2 linked regions of the Rhinolophus ferrumequinum genome follow. The protein of the gene in region 1 interacts with the protein of each later gene in a pairwise test. Links are inferred from orthologs where the notes say so. Each region holds a gene or a part of one and is shown on either strand. Other genes may lie near its edges.

Evidence for each region. The genes of interacting proteins can lie anywhere in the genome.
Region 2: the proteins of ZC3H10 (region 1) and NFYA interact in binary tests that used the Homo sapiens proteins (3 or more experiments, as listed by UniProt). The two-hybrid records come from large-scale screens. The link is inferred for Rhinolophus ferrumequinum from reciprocal best matches to the Homo sapiens genes ZC3H10 and NFYA.

What each region holds. Positions count from the first base shown.
Region 1 is NC_046293.1:55,478,429-55,486,182, reverse strand, and holds the start of ZC3H10 (zinc finger CCCH domain-containing protein 10), read right to left. Parts: upstream 3,097-7,754; 5' UTR 3,020-3,096; intron 2,263-3,019; 5' UTR 2,199-2,262; intron 770-2,198; 5' UTR 715-769; coding exon 1-714. Other genes in the region: PA2G4 (proliferation-associated protein 2G4), read right to left, coding at 7,305-7,370, 7,587-7,640. UniProt on the Homo sapiens protein: Specific regulator of miRNA biogenesis. Binds, via the C3H1-type zinc finger domains, to the binding motif 5'-GCAGCGC-3' on microRNA pri-MIR143 and negatively regulates the processing to mature microRNA.
Region 2 is NC_046286.1:10,792,101-10,799,444, reverse strand, and holds the start of NFYA (nuclear transcription factor Y subunit alpha), read right to left. Parts: upstream 3,097-7,344; 5' UTR 2,969-3,096; exon of another isoform or gene 2,701-2,968; intron 2,420-2,700; exon of another isoform or gene 2,273-2,419; intron 2,264-2,272; exon of another isoform or gene 1,897-2,263; intron 1-1,896. Other genes in the region: ADP-ribose glycohydrolase OARD1, read left to right, coding at 3,648-3,686, 4,017-4,161, 5,181-5,239, 6,206-6,318. UniProt on the Homo sapiens protein: Component of the sequence-specific heterotrimeric transcription factor (NF-Y) which specifically recognizes a 5'-CCAAT-3' box motif found in the promoters of its target genes.

The DNA.
Region 1 (7,754 bases):
GCACTCCACCCCTCGGGGTGGGGCTAGGCTATAGTCATACGATTCAAAATGGGGACCATCTGGGGGGCAGCAGCCACCTCGCCGGCGCTTGGGGCCTGGCTCATGGTCCTCAAAGCCCCTGTCAGGGAGGTCGTAGATATCATAGAGATCATGACGTCGTCCTGGGGGGACTGGGCCTGTTGAGCCCCCACCACCAGTGCTTCCTCCACCCCGAGCGTCAAACTCAAAATCCCGTTGCAGGTGACGGAACTTGCACTTGGCTCCTCTTTGGCAGTCACCCTTGAGAAAGTCCCGGCAGATAGGGACCTCCTCCTTGCCATTTGGTAGGTCAGCTGGAGAAAGGCCCAGGCCTGCTGCCACTTTCTGCCTCAACCGAGGGGGAAGCTCTCCTGTCTTCTTATAGCCGTCCTCATCCTCCTTGGAGCCATGGATGAATCGGCAGTTTGGGCGACTACACTCCTTGTTCTGGAAGTCATGGCAGAAGATGAACTCATTTTTGCTTACCCCCAAGTTGGACACCTCACTCATGTCTGGATGACGATAGCGGCAACGCTTGCCTCGCTTGCATACATTCCTCAGGAAGTCTCTACAGATGGCATCTGAGCTGGCCCCGCCACTGCCTGCCCCTGTCCCACTGGCCTCCTCGCTGCCACCGCTTCCAGGGCCTCCACCGCTGTTCCCAGTGCCGTTGGCATAGCTGTCCCGATCAGGCATCCTGGTCCCCCCCAATTCAGGGCTTTCTTCCTTTTCTTGCCACCCTTGGTGACCACTAGGAAAGAGGAGAACTGTGTCAAACAGGAGTCCTCCAGAGGCCACTCTTCCTAACTATAGAGTAGGCCGTCTGACGAGAGGCAGGACAGAGAGGCAATGGCTTTGGCGATGGAGAAGCTAAGGGATGAGAATTCTGCCTGGACTGGCTGACTTGTCAGAAGTCCCGCCCAGGCCTTTGTGCACCTGGTCTGGGTGGGAATGATTCACACTTGCTGGGCTAATGGAGAAGGGAGGGAGCTGGGGTGAAGCCACTTCGTCTCACTAATGATGACAGGCCAAGGAGGGGGCAGGGAGAGATAGTATTGGATTTTATTTCCCCTTTGAACTGACCTTATTAAAGTTGCGGAAGTGAAATTAAAACTGCTGTCGGCGTCTGACTAGGTTAGGAGAAGATTGGGAATCGTGGCCAAGGTGGGCTGGTGAGCTACTAGGGCTGTGGATAATGAGATACTGATGACAAAACTTCCCTTAACCCCTTTTCCGTGGGATTTCAGATGAGGGCTCTGTCACGTATCATATCTCTAGACCCAGGAAATCCTGAGTGAAGAGACTTGTGTCACCGGCTTGAGGTCAGTCCCTAAACTTGTCATTTTCTCAGTATTCTCTCCCAGCTCACCACCACCATCAACCCCAGTGTGGTCAGCCCCCACCACTCCATTTCAGGGGAAGAGTTCTACAGTGACAACATCTCCACTTATAGACTCCCAAGAACAAAACCATTTGTGACAAGGTCAAGGCAGGAGGAAGGAGTTAATTTCATAGGAACAAGTGACCTTACTTCGCCCATTCTATCCCCTCCTAACCCTCCATGGGAAGATACCACTGACATCTAACCACACCACTCCTCACCCCATAAAGATCCTCTTTATTTATAGACTCTATAAAAGCTTTTAAGTCTCATCTTTCCCAAGAGAGCTCTGGAATGTCAGTCCACTGCCCTGGTTCTAGCCCTCCCCTCACCCCACCCCCCACAGGACTGTGAGTCCCTGCGACCACGTGTCTGACCTCCTAAGCCTTTCCCAGGCAGTATTCAGGCTCCCCCTGCTGTTCAAATAGGAGAACTTCATATTGTTTCCCCTTGAGTATAAGGGAATCTTTCCAATTTCTCTGGCCTTCATCTCCCCCCAGCCATCGACCCCATTGCCTAGACTTTGCCTCTAGATCGCTCTAAAATGATCCAGAGGACAGAGTTACAAGAGAATCTGTAAAAGAAGAGGGGTCCTCCTCCTCCAAAGGGAGATAGTCCCAGAATAACAGAAACAATCCAGGAAGAGTAGTAAATGATACAAACTTTTACAAAAAGGGAAATGACCTGGTGAAAAATAAATGCCACTATCCAAGCCTAACCCACGTAGCAAGTCCCAGCAGACGCAGATTGTCAGATATGATACTCATCCCCACCCAACTCGCCCAGGATTGTTCAATACCTGAGGTAGCTCAGGTGAAGTCCGGGGCTCCTGTGGGTCTCCACCTCCACATCACTGCTGGGTTCTGAACAGGAAAAAAAAAAAGAGAGAGATTTGGACGGGAGAAAGGGTAAGAATGGAGAACTATAGGGTGTTGTTACAAGAAAGACTGACAAAATGGCAAGAGCTCTGGGCACATCAACATTTCCTCAGGGTTCCAACTGAACTTCACCGGTCAAAGGGAGAAGTTGCCAGAACGAATTTGGAGAGCCTAGGAGGACGGGTTGGAAAACCAGCTCTGAGCGAACAAAGGTGAGGGGAGCCCTGCCTCAAGTTGGAGGAGGATGTGGGGGTCAGAGCTTGGCCTAGGGCTGGAGTTAGGAACTCTGAACAGGGAGCAATGCAAGGACAGCGACTGGCAGTGCAGTGAGATGACAGATTAGACTTGGAGGCGGTGATTATGAAGCTTCGCAACACCCCAGAGTTTGTGAAAAAAGTCCTAGGAGTTTCCCACAGCAAATCTAGCTTGGCAGGTTCTGTACAGTGCCACAGAGCTCAACCATGGGACAGGTGAATAGGACATTAAGGGAGTACGAAGTGAAGCAGGGAGAGGGACTCCAGATGACATCAAGCTGAGGGGATGGGCAGGGCTGTGACGTCACGGAGCAGGCGTTTGCTCGGGAAGCGGGGTCAGTCAGAAAAAGGGCTCGGCCCTGGGGCATGAGGAACAACCAGCTCGGTCCTGGGGGGCCTTGTGTAGCCCGGCAGAGCCCAGCCGCTGGGCCGGCCCCGACTCCTCCCCTCCGGGCGCGGCCTCCACCTAAGTCTCCCGCCTCCCTCACCTGCCGCCGCCGCCGTAGTTGCTGCTGCCGCCTGCCGGTCCTCTAGCTTCGACAAAGAGCTGCCCACTCTATCGCCCTTCCGCTTCCTGCGGAAGAAACGACACTCTAGCCACCAGACCCGGAACTATACTCTATGGTGTACGAAATACTGGCGCGACAAGCCGCAGGAAGTCCCAGCAAGCTTTGCGTGTCACCATGGCAACCCAACCCAACAGCACAGTAAAGGACCCAGAAAGTATAATTTAACGTAGGCCTAAACACGGGAGTAGGGGCGGAACCACGGTTTGCCCATAACCGTCTCGACATCTGTCCCCAGACGTCCATTACACCCTTTTCAGGATGATCTACCCATACTTTTTAATTAACTCCCGAGGGCCAGGGACCAGATGTTGGCTAGGGGTGTAATCAACGCCCCTTCCCGCCCCCAATGTAGCCTAATGCAAGGGCCGACTGTACTGATACAAGTCCACCAGCCAATGGAACCATAAAAACCACAAAACACAAGACTTTGTTTCTTCAGCTAAGACAGCAGATGATTTATTGTACACATTACATTCAGCCACAACTGAGAACAGAACTTGTCCAGAATGTCACAGGTCCAGAGCAAAGGACTCTTTTGTACGAGCCAAGTGGGTTTCTCAAAAGGTGGTAGCGGGGAACAGATGGCAATGTATGTTCTAGATCCATTGAGAAGTCCTAGATATTAGGCATGCAGTCCAACAATTTGTTGCAGTATCCCTGGCCTCTGGCTTTCCTCATTTCTGCTCCTGTGGCTTCCACCGGTGTACAAGCTAGCGGTTTACTTGGACCTCTGCCTCATCTTTCTTCTTTTGCGCTTCAGCCTGAAAAGCAGACACGGGAGTACACTTCCTGCCCATAAACCCGAGGTTCACTCTTTCCCTCCCATCTTAAACGTACATACGATACGCAGGGTGATAAAACGATCATGCACTCCATTCTACTGTCTTGTGTCCAATCCCTGGCTCTGACAAGTCAATTCTCAAAACATTTTCCACCTAAGTTCACCAAATGTTCCTCCCAAGCTTTGACCCAAGGCACGCTCCACTTCCCTCCTCCCGTGCCAGCAGTCTCAACATACCTGCGCATTCGCTTCTTCCTCCACTGGCAACCGATCATAACCAGAGACAAGGAATAAAACAAAAGGTCATTAGTTTTAGAATCAGGATTAGGTAGGGATGTGAAGAGCGTTATTTAGAACCAGGCAAGTTCTTGACCAAACATGAGGGCTCAGTCTCAGTAATTACATCAACAATTTGGCCTCCCAACCCAACACCCCAAAGTAAACACCGAATCCCGCGTGCGCTCCTCCACTCCCCACTCTCCACACAACACTTACCCAACCAGCTCCGCTTCTCCCCAAACTATCCTTCATCTCCCACTAGGTCTTGGCACCCTTGAGAACCCATCGGTTCAGGGAATCATGGCGGACTTCCCGTGCCTGGGTCTCCACCCCCAGCCATCAATTACTGCAGCCTCAGCTCACTACCAGGAACTGCTTACCTTGGCTCTCATGGCGCGGAGGTATCTACGGGTAAAGAGAAAAAGGCCACAGTTAGTTTGCCGTAACGATGGCAAGGGCAGAGACGAGATGTTAATGGATTGTACCCGAAGTCCGCACACAGGCCGCACACTCACCCAAGAAGATGACGCTAAGGCCGAGAGAGCGCTAAGCGCCCGCCTACCGCCATTTAAGGGAGCACTCAGTGTCGTCACTTCCTTTGCCTCGCCCTACCCACCCCGGGGGCGGGGCTGCCCAAGGGGAGTAACAATGGCTTCCGGCCCTTCTCAGGTGCATAAGTGATTTAATTCCTTTGGAAAGCAGTATTTTTGAGTTACAAAATTCCCCCTTCCGTTTTATTATGAGGACATTGTATTATTTAAACGTGAGCACCTATTTCCAATATGGGACCTAGAGGTGCAGACGAGCAAAACACAGCGATTTCCGTCTTCCCTCTCATTGCTTCATGGGAGTTGCAGTTTCCTTGGCGACACCCTCCATTTTATTATGGATGGGTGCAGACTGTACAAAAATGTTTTACTGGTTTGCCTTATTTTCCAAACTAAATTGCTGCAGGGAGAGTCGATCGCGGAACCTCCGAATGTCCTAAGGTTCCAGAACACGGAAGAATGTAAAGTTGGGGAGTTAAGTAAGCTGTCATACTACAAAAAAAACCCCAAACTGTCAGTATTGTAAACTTTCCAACTATGCTCTCCCCCCACAATACCTGAAGCAGAATGTCACAATGTATGTTGGTCACAATGTATCTTGTTCAAAAGATACTTCAGTGATCCTCCCTACCTGGTGGTAAGGATCAAGCCAATGGAGAGGGGAAGATCAGATCTTCTCTAGGGCAAGGGTGGTATGTGGTATTAAGATAAATAACTTCCCAGTCTCAGGGTACAGACATGTCAGAAGCCCTTGGTAAATAAAATACCCAAAGATTTGGCTACAGTGAACGAATTCTGAAGAATGGAGAAGAATCCTTAACCACTGACTTCACCTTATTCACTTTGATACTTTATAGTTTTTATAATCCCTCCTGTGTGGTGGTTTCCCTTTATAATTTATTCAATAACATGTCACCATTTAACTATTAAAGTAAGGTTTTTAAAAAGTTGGGGCCCTTGTTCCAAGTGCTTAAGAAGTTCTAGTATTTTCACCATCAGAATATAACAAGTTTTTGAAGACAAAAATAAAAACCCTAGCACAATTATTTTATGTTGTCCCCCAGGATTTCACCTGTTGATTGTCCACTCGTCTATAAGCTCTTATGAAGAGTCGTGTTTTGTTTCACTGTAGTATCTACAGATCTGCATGCCTCACGTGTAAGATTGAATAAATCTCAAATCTAATAAATTATTCATCTCAGGCTGGCCCTGAAAAATTGCATAATACTCAAGGAATTCTTCCTGGCTTTCTAAGTCAAGATAAACATTTGTATAGTATTTTTCGCAGTATACATAAATGTACTAATCCTGAACAAATTATCAGAAGCAAGGTTGATGTTTTCACTTTAGAAAATTTAATCATACTCACATAGAAAATTTACTATTTTAATCCAGAGAATCCAGGATTTATGTTTTTTGGGTTGGGAAGTATTCCTTGTTTTAAAAGTAGAATATATCAACAGAAAAACCGCTCCAAGTGATCATCAATCACTTCAACAGACACTCCCCAGCACTTCCAGCAAATAAGAGTAGCAAAGGCACACGAGTATGAGCAAATCCAAATTTATTTTAACACCATGTCATTTTCAACGTGTTTAAAAACCTCATAAGTTAGTGGGAGCTCTAGTTCCCTGGGACAGCATGCCAGAGGTACTGAAATTCGTCACCTTTCTCTCCAATCCCCTAGCGATTCATCCAATTCAAGTCCATAGCTTCAGAAAGCCAGGAGTTGTCTCTCCAGTCTGCTCCTCTGGTTCCTGGTCTTTCTTTCAAGGAAGGGAGGTCAAAATATTTCAAACAGGAACAAAACCACAGTTGAGGTTCCAGCTCAGGTTTGTAAGATGGAGCAAAGGAAGACCCCACTGACTCCAAAGAATTGGACAGGTTGAAATGGACTCCTCCTTTACAGCTTTGTGGGGGAAAGGGGGAAGAGTCCTGCAGAACAAAAATGACTAAAAAGATTTACAAATGAGGATCCATTTCATAGATGAGAATCCCTTGATAAGTGCAGGCTCCAGCTCCTAAAAATGGGAGGGGCCTGACCAGATAGCCTGGATCAGAAAAGGAATCTGCCACATGTGAATAAAAACAATCTGAAGAACAGTTTCTATTTTGAGGCCAGGTAACATACTTGGGGAGAGCAGTAAAAGAGAGGAACAAGCCCCAACAGATGGAAAAATGCTGACCTCGGAGTGTATAAAAAAATTTCAGCTGAATTTTTAGTGGTAGTGGCTACTTTAGCCTCCTCCCTGTTCTATTGTAGGGCCATAAACCTTGACCAAGCAGAGAGTGGTAGAAAAAGGCTAGAAAGAGGGGCTTGAAGACGATGAATTTTGACTCCTGATTTTATTATTCAATTTCTCTTTTCAATTTAAAGTAGTCTTCGGTGGCTGGGAAGCCTGGCCTCCCAAGACCAGAGTCAGTTGGAGCTGGTTGTTGTTGGAAGGGGGTTGGGTTGCGGGGCCGGGAGGGGGGCAGGGAGACCCCTGCTCTGCTGGTGGTCCTGGGTGGAGAAGACAACTGCACTTCACAGAGCCCGGGGTGTGGTGGGAAGGGGATGAGGCAGGAGCAGCAAGCTGGGGAGATGGGACCCACCTCAGTCCCCAGCTTCATTCTCTTCTAATGTTTCCCCACTGGTGGCATTCTCTGCAGTCTTGGAAGCCTATATTCGTGTAAAGAAGACTTGTCAGTTTCCAACACCTCGGGGTAGTGTCTGGGGGACCAAGGACAAAAATCCTAATTCTCTAGGTCAGGGCTGAGAAGGGGGAAAATAAGGATAAATAAGGATATACAGAAATCTACGCCCTACCACAACCCAGGAAAGTGGAAGAAAGAGGGATCCGGTTCACCCTGCCAAAGAGGGATGATCATAACATACCTTCTTTTTTTTCTTTTTCTGGGTTTTCCGACTTGCAGAACTCTGGAGGAGGGCCTGGAATATAGGAGGAAGAAGGAAAACAAATTTTGAGGAATGTAGAGGAAACAATCTTACTCTCAATATTGTAGCTCTTTTTAGAACTTTGCTGATATTTAGTTCTCACTTCCA
Region 2 (7,344 bases), on another chromosome or scaffold:
TTTAGGAAAACGTGGCATCTGACCTGGTCTTAAGCGTGAGAAGGATTTATATGTGATGATGTGGAGTACTCCAAATGAAGAGCCAGCATGAAAAACAAGACTAAAAAGCCCCATTTGTCAAGTGAAAGAGGCCAGACTACTGTCTCTCAAAATTCCAGGCAAAGAAGTTCCTCTGCAGACAGGTGGAGGCTCTACAGATGGTCCGCAAAAAAGTAAACAGACTGTAACTGCCTTTTAGAACATCTAGCAAAAGTGGTTGTTTTCAAGTCACCAGATACATACGTGTTTTGAAAAATATCTAAGACAAATTGCCTCTTGTTTTAACGTGGATAATAATTAACTGAATTTTTAAAAAATGATTTAAACAATGAAAAATTCGCCCTAAAAAGTGAAAACAAAAACGGTCTCCCAAGTTTTAACAGTAAAAGAGCACTGGACTAGGAGTTTTCTGAAACCTAGTAGTTGTATGAGCTTAGTAGATGTGATTATAAAAACCAGCACCGCATACCTTAATCTATGTGCTAGGGATTGCACTAGGCACTTCACATAAATACAAACTGTTAACGTCTGAGGGAAGAAAATTCCCTTTGTTCCCCAAAAGAAGCCAGCCACTGTTATGGGACAGAATCCCACAAGTCCGAAGTTTGTTTTTCCAATCTTACAAAATATTCCTCCCTAAGATAGACAAGTGCTTTTACCAGCTGGCCTAAACCGTCCCCACTGCTGCCCACTGCCCTTTCCCGTCTACCCTCTGAGCACACGGCACAATGTGGTGCCTCACCCCAGGCTCTTCTCTCTGTGAGCAAGGCTCCTGTATTCTGTCCCATTAGAAGAAACCCCATCCTTCTTGGAGGCCCATCAGAAGTGTGGCTGTGTTAAGCCTTCCACCGAGGCTACTGGTAGCTCACACACCAGTACTGTACTTTGCAGAACTGAACTTGGTCCCGTTATTCCACTAACCGTTAGGTATTAGTTGTTCACCTGTCAATCTCCACCAGCAGGGAAGGTGCTCGTTTACCTTTACCCACTCCCACCCCAGCACAGAGACGTACGTCTGTTCCACACTAACTGCTCCAGATTTGCCTGTCAACAGGTATTTCTCCTAATCCTAATGAAAACCCCACGACATCTGTTGAGAACATGTCAACATGGAATTAGAAAGGATGTTATAAAAAAATAAACCAAGAGACAGCTGTGGACTGAGCTAACTGCGTCAAGCCGGACACGTTCAAAGTGACACAGAAAGGTGAAAGAAAAATGAATTGTACATCCTCGGGGGAAGGAGCGTTCGCACGATGAGCGACGGATGAGTAACCAAATCGTAAGCAAGCTGTGCAGCCTCCGGGAAAAGGAACGCACAGGGCCAGCAGTTTTCTCCAAGTGAGGTTCCAGGCAGCGAACGGACGGGCCTTGGCGCCCGGGGGAGAAAGGGAGACGGTCTGGTTGGGCTCCAAGACTGAGGTGTGCGGGTCGGGCCTGGCAAGCGGGGCGGGGATTAGAGGAAATGACGAGCCAAAAAGGGGGTGGCAACGGCGCCGGGCCGCAGACCCGGGCCGAGCGTGCTGGGAGGGACGCAGCGGGTAGGGGGAGTGGGCAGACGGCCTCCCCGCCATCCGGTCCGCGGAGACGGCGGGGGCGGGCGGGCGGGCCGGCCCCCTCTCCCCGCCGCACTCGGGCCCTGTGGGTCATGGCACGTGTCTTGCCCAGTCTTCCCTGCGGACCCAGGAGGGCGACAGACAGACCCAGCTCACGGAGGGCTGGGGTACGCGGGCCCCGCGGGGGGAGGTGTCCCGTCCCGAGCGCCGGAGCGGGAAGAGAGCAAGGGCGGGCTTAAGTGTGAGGTCGGAACCACCAGGAGAAAACCGCCGAGGCAGCGAGGCGTGCGCGTGTGTGTACCTGAGCGTAGGGGCATTCGTGGCAGGCAAGCCCGCCACTCCCGAGCCTGGGGCCTGAGAACCGGGGCCTAAGAGTTGGGGGAACCGGGACGCATCCCCAACTGGCTCCGGCACCCTGCAAGTGTTTGGACCCCGAGGTGCCTGCCCCCGGGGGCGCCATCTCCGTGCGGGGCGGCCCCCTGCAGGCCTCGGCCGGGAGTGCCCCGCGGCGCTCGCAGGCTCCCAGCCGGGGGCCCCAGCCACCCCATTCGGCTAGGCTCAGCTCGACTCCCCAGGCTCGACGGGCGCCTGGGCCTCTCCTGAGTGGTCAGCGAGACCCGCCAATCGGGGCGCTGGGGCCGGCTCTGGGCCGCTGGATATTGGCTCCTCACACTCACCGTGCCTCGCTCCCCCGGTTCGCTGCCCGCGCTGATTGGCTCCAGTACCGGACTCCGAAACCCAATCAGAGGCTCCAGCCGCCGCTGCCGCCGCCACTGCCGCTGCCTCGCAAAATGGCGAACCCGAACAAAGGGGAATCGGGCCTCCCTCCAACCGCCTCCGCGCAGGCGCCTCTGAGGCCACGCCCCCTAACCCCCCGCTCGGGGCTCGCCCCACCCCCGTTGAAAGAGCACTGCGCAGGCGTCCCCTTAAACCACGCCCACTTTCCTAATTAGGTACCACTACCGACCGGAGGAATACGCAGGCGCCCTGGGCACGCCCCAAACCGTGCGACTCCAAACACCGTTCTGAACGCAATACTACGCAGGCGCTAACTAGCTTCTTTGCCAACCTCCAACCCCTTTCTATGCGGCCACTGGAGACACACCTCTGGGGCTAATGCGCAAGCGCCGTTTTTCCCCCGCTCGAGGTCGGCTGTCTCGTTACGCATGCCCGGGTGGCGGCAGGAGACTCCGCAGAATTCACCGCCGGAAGTTCGGCGGCCATAACCAAAGAGTGCAGTTTCGGCTAGCTAGCTAGAGGGGCTCGTTTCCGCATCGCTCCCGGGTAGTGGGCGGCCATCTTAGGTGCGTGCAATTAAAGGGCTGTGGCGGGATTGGCTCCGCGTCTGGACTTGTCTGCTGTTTCCCACCTACCAGGGCCGGATCTGGAGCCCTTTCCCGTGGGGCGGGACCTCGTAACGCCGACTCCAGGTGAAGGGTAACTGGTACGTTGGGGCGTTGAGCGAGCCTTCCCGCTCCTTCCCCCGGGACTCCGGGACAGGCTCTGCACCTCGCTGACCCGCCGTAGGGTAGGAAACAGAGAATGGGAGGCTTCTCTAGACTTCTTGCCCTACCCCCCAAAAGGGGAGGAAGCCTTTCTTGAGAGGCCACCTTTCCTCTCCTCTTGCCTACGGCCGGGCAGTACACTCCCCCTGGTCCGTACACTCCCTAGTTGCGGCCCCAAGCCCCTCCCTTTTTCTTGTAGGCCAAACCTACTGAGTTTAAGGAGCCCGTCCTAAATCCGCCCGCCTCGGGCGCGGGCCAAGGAGGAGGCGTGTCGTGGGGCCGCCTTTTCTTCGCTGGCGGAGCGGGGCGCTCCAGGAAAGCGCGAAATACTAGCGGGCCTGGCTGCCTGCGAACCTAGGCAGGCTGCCTCGCCCCAGAGCACTTCTGTGTTCCTTCCAGAGGCTGAACGAACTCACTTTCAGTTGGGGCAACAAGGGGGTGGTCGGGGCGATCTGGCTATAATATATTCAGGCTGCCTAAGCATTTGTCCTTTTCCCTTCTCGTAGCTGAAGAAACATTTTAATTCTGGAGATACCGACTCAGTATCATGGCCGGCAGCCCTAATGAAGATCCAGAAGGAAGCAGAGTGGGTAACAACTGTTAACTTAGTGGTGAACTGAAATTCAGAATAATTGAGGTTACAAGCATAAACACTTTTTAATTAAACCAATAATTGAATTGTCTTTTTCCCCCCCTCTAGCTGGTTTACTTCAGAAAGGCTAATACAACTTAGGCAGAGACCGTCTGTCACTTTTCTTTACACAAGCTTTAATTCATTGTGGTTAACCCCTTAAATTCTGAGGATTTGGCTTTCAATGAGGGGTGGGGCGGAGGACACAGTAAAGGAAAGTGAAAGTAATAGTGTAGTATTTTTCAGTATCTAATAAAACATTTTCTTTCCCTTTGCCCGTTTCAGATCACTTATGTGAAAGGAGACCTTTTTGCATGCCCCAAAACAGACTCTCTAGCCCACTGTATCAGTGAGGATTGTCGAATGGGGGCTGGGATAGCTGTACTCTTCAAGAAGAAATTTGGAGGGGTGCAGGAACTGTTAAACCAACGTGAGTTTTGAAAACAGTTTAACTTGCCCTCACTAGAGCCTCTTTTGACTGTGTTATATTAATACTTTAATTATTAAACAAGATACATATGCAAAGAGCGAGTTCATAACCACGGAGTACTTTTAACTCATCAGATTCAGCTTTTCCTCCACAAAACTGGTCTCTAGTTTGGGTCCTTATCACACCTAACCTGAATTCTTGTAAAAGTCGCTGATCTCTTCCTCCTCTGTCATAAAACTGAATAATACTCCACTTCTCGGAAACCCTTAATAACACTGGAGTGCGTAGCAAAGTCCACAGGCATTAGCTTGGCATTCAGAATCCTCTGTTCACGGATATCGCATTCAGGAGTTTAGAATCCTCCGCTTCCTTATAGACCCCCCCATCACTTTCTACCAATGATTTTAAATCAGAGATGTGTATCAGAATCATGTGGAGTTTCTGGAACAGTTGCTCAGACCACAGTCCAGGCTTAATCAGGGTCTCCACTGGCAATTCTGATGCCAGCCTTTAAAAGAGCAATTTCTTATTGCTTTGTATTGTTATTTGTAAACATGACACCTTTTCTTGATTGAAAACTCATAATAATTAGGAACCTTTTTATACACCTGTGGTCTCTGTAACGCTTAAACGTTAGCTCTTTGTATGTAAAAAGATCATTATTGAATGAACACACAGTTGGCAAATGAAAAATGCTGTACATTCTAAAATATTTCAAGGCAAAAAAACTACACATTAAAGTTTTTTAAGTGAACAAATAAGGGTGTATTTGAAAATAAGGGCAGGACAAAAGATAGGGGGTGAGGAAAACATTGAGAAAACATAATTAAAGAAGGTAGAAGTTAAGAAAATGCAGTATTTAGGAATGCTGATAAGAAGCAAAGTGTTCATAGGAGACAATAGATTTCTTTAGATTATTTCCAGTTCTGAGGTTAACTCAGATCTGTAAAGATTTCTTAAAATCTAAGAATGGAGATAAGTGTTTTGATTTTCCTTTCTATGAAATAACTTTCTCTTAGAAAAGAAATCTGGAGAAGTGGCTGTTCTGAAGAGAGATGGGCGATATATATATTACTTGGTAAGATAACTCTCCGAGTTGTAAGGGTTGGTGACCCGGGGAGCTGTGCGGAATTTGTGTTGATCATTCTAGACGGGCAAAGACATCAAAAAGCCTCTGATCTCATGCCAGCTCAGATCCAGTGGTGGTGGTGATTTGGAGCTGTGGGTTAGAAAGGAACATGAAGCTGCATCCTAGTTCCATGGGAAAGAGTATTGTGACATCAACCAAAGGTCTGTGTTCTAAGATTTGCAAAAAGTTAGGGATAACTAGTCATAGTGAGACAGAAACGAGACATTGCTCAAAGGAGTTTTTCCTCTCATTCTTCCCTATCAAATGCGCTTAACTCCTTTCCTTCCTCTGCCTCAGTGTGAGATTCTTCCACTGTCCAAATGGTTTTCGGCCCCAGAAAGAGTGTGGCTTCTTGGTGATGGTGCTGGGTGAGTTATAGGCAACCCACTAGAAGCTTGTTTTGGACAGCACACTGAGTGGGTTCATGAATGCTATCTTTAAGGCTGATGTTATTCCCAGTATTATTTGGGACGCTACCAGTTTCTCTGTTCTTTTATAGAAAAACAAAAAGCAAGCAAGCATGGTTTCTAAATAAATAGACGGAACAGGAAATTTTCAGGTAGTATTCGGTTCTTCCTTTAACTAGAGATTTGCAGTTTATCTCTTGGAAGTGGCACAAAGACTTTCACCTACCTTGCTGAAAAACAATAGACAGTAGGCACAGCCTGTTAACCTCCTGGGCGTCTTGAGAAAAGGAAAGATTATTATGTGGCAATGTCTGGGTTTCTTAGGCCCTATGTAGTGGATTTTCCTGAGGACCTCCCATCACTGAACGGGACACTATTTTTCATCCTTGCTCTAGACTATTCTATAAAAATGCAGTCATCATTTTATCAGGATGTTGGGAGAATGTGATGGCTTTCTTTTGCTATCAATTTAGACTAATAGAAGTTTGAATTCTTTCTTTGTACTCAGATTACAAAGAAAAGGGCTTCACACAAGCCAACTTACGAAAATTTACAGAAGAGTTTAGAGGCCATGAAGTCCCATTGTCTGAAGAATGGAGTCACCGACCTCTCCATGCCCAGGCAAGGAAATCCAAGGCTCTAAGTGAAGATTTACTTGATTGGTGGAGGTTACTGTCTTATCCAAAAACAAATGGCTTAAAAGCTTAATCCAAAATATGGACTTAAAGGTGGACAATTTCAAAACTTTAAAAAATCGCCAGTGAATCAGTTGTCAGACCTTAGGCTAAGGCCTACCCATTTATTAGTATAGGTTGAAAGAATCAGGGCAATGAACTTAAAACACACACCTGCCTCAGCCTATGTAGTAGGGAAGAACCATTGTTCAATCACATTTAAATTGTAAACGATCACTGCCTTTTAAACTGCATACTTGTTTGTGGTCACCATGGGCAGTTAGCCAGAGGCCAGGTCACATCAGCTGGGTCCTGGATGTGACGTCTTAGACCCTACCTATTGGGAACTTAAGGAGTGACATTGAGGGTTCAGTATCCCCTTTACCTCCTTTTCAGGCAATAGGCTTGGGCTCACTTCTCTTGTCAGTCTAATTTTAAGTTAGGGCTGACCGTGCATGCAGGTTTATTCCAAGGTCCAAGGCTACAGGGTCCCTCATCTTACACTGGTCTTTACTGTATTTATGGATTATGAATCAGAAACTTTTTTTAATCACAATTTTTTTCAGGGACTTAATCATCACGTATGAAATTAGCAAATTTTTTTAATTTTAATTTTTTTTATTTTATTGGGGAACAGTGTGTTGCTCCAGGGCCCATTAACTCCAAGTCGTTGTCCTTCAATCTACTTGTAGAGGGCACAGCTCAGCCATGTCCAGCTGCTGTTTTCAATCTTAGTTGCAGGGGGCCCAGCCTACCATCTCATGTGGGAATTGAACCAGCAACCCTGTTGTTGAGAGCTCGCACTCTAACCAACTGAGCCATCTGGCTGCCCCTGATATTAGCCATTTTAAGCCCCCATTTTTCCCGCTAGGAATGTTGAAGATCGATAAAGTAACATCTTAGAAGAACGGTGCTAGGTAGTAGTTTTGTGGGCTGATCGAGGTTTCTTACCAGGGTGTTCCAAAGACTAAAA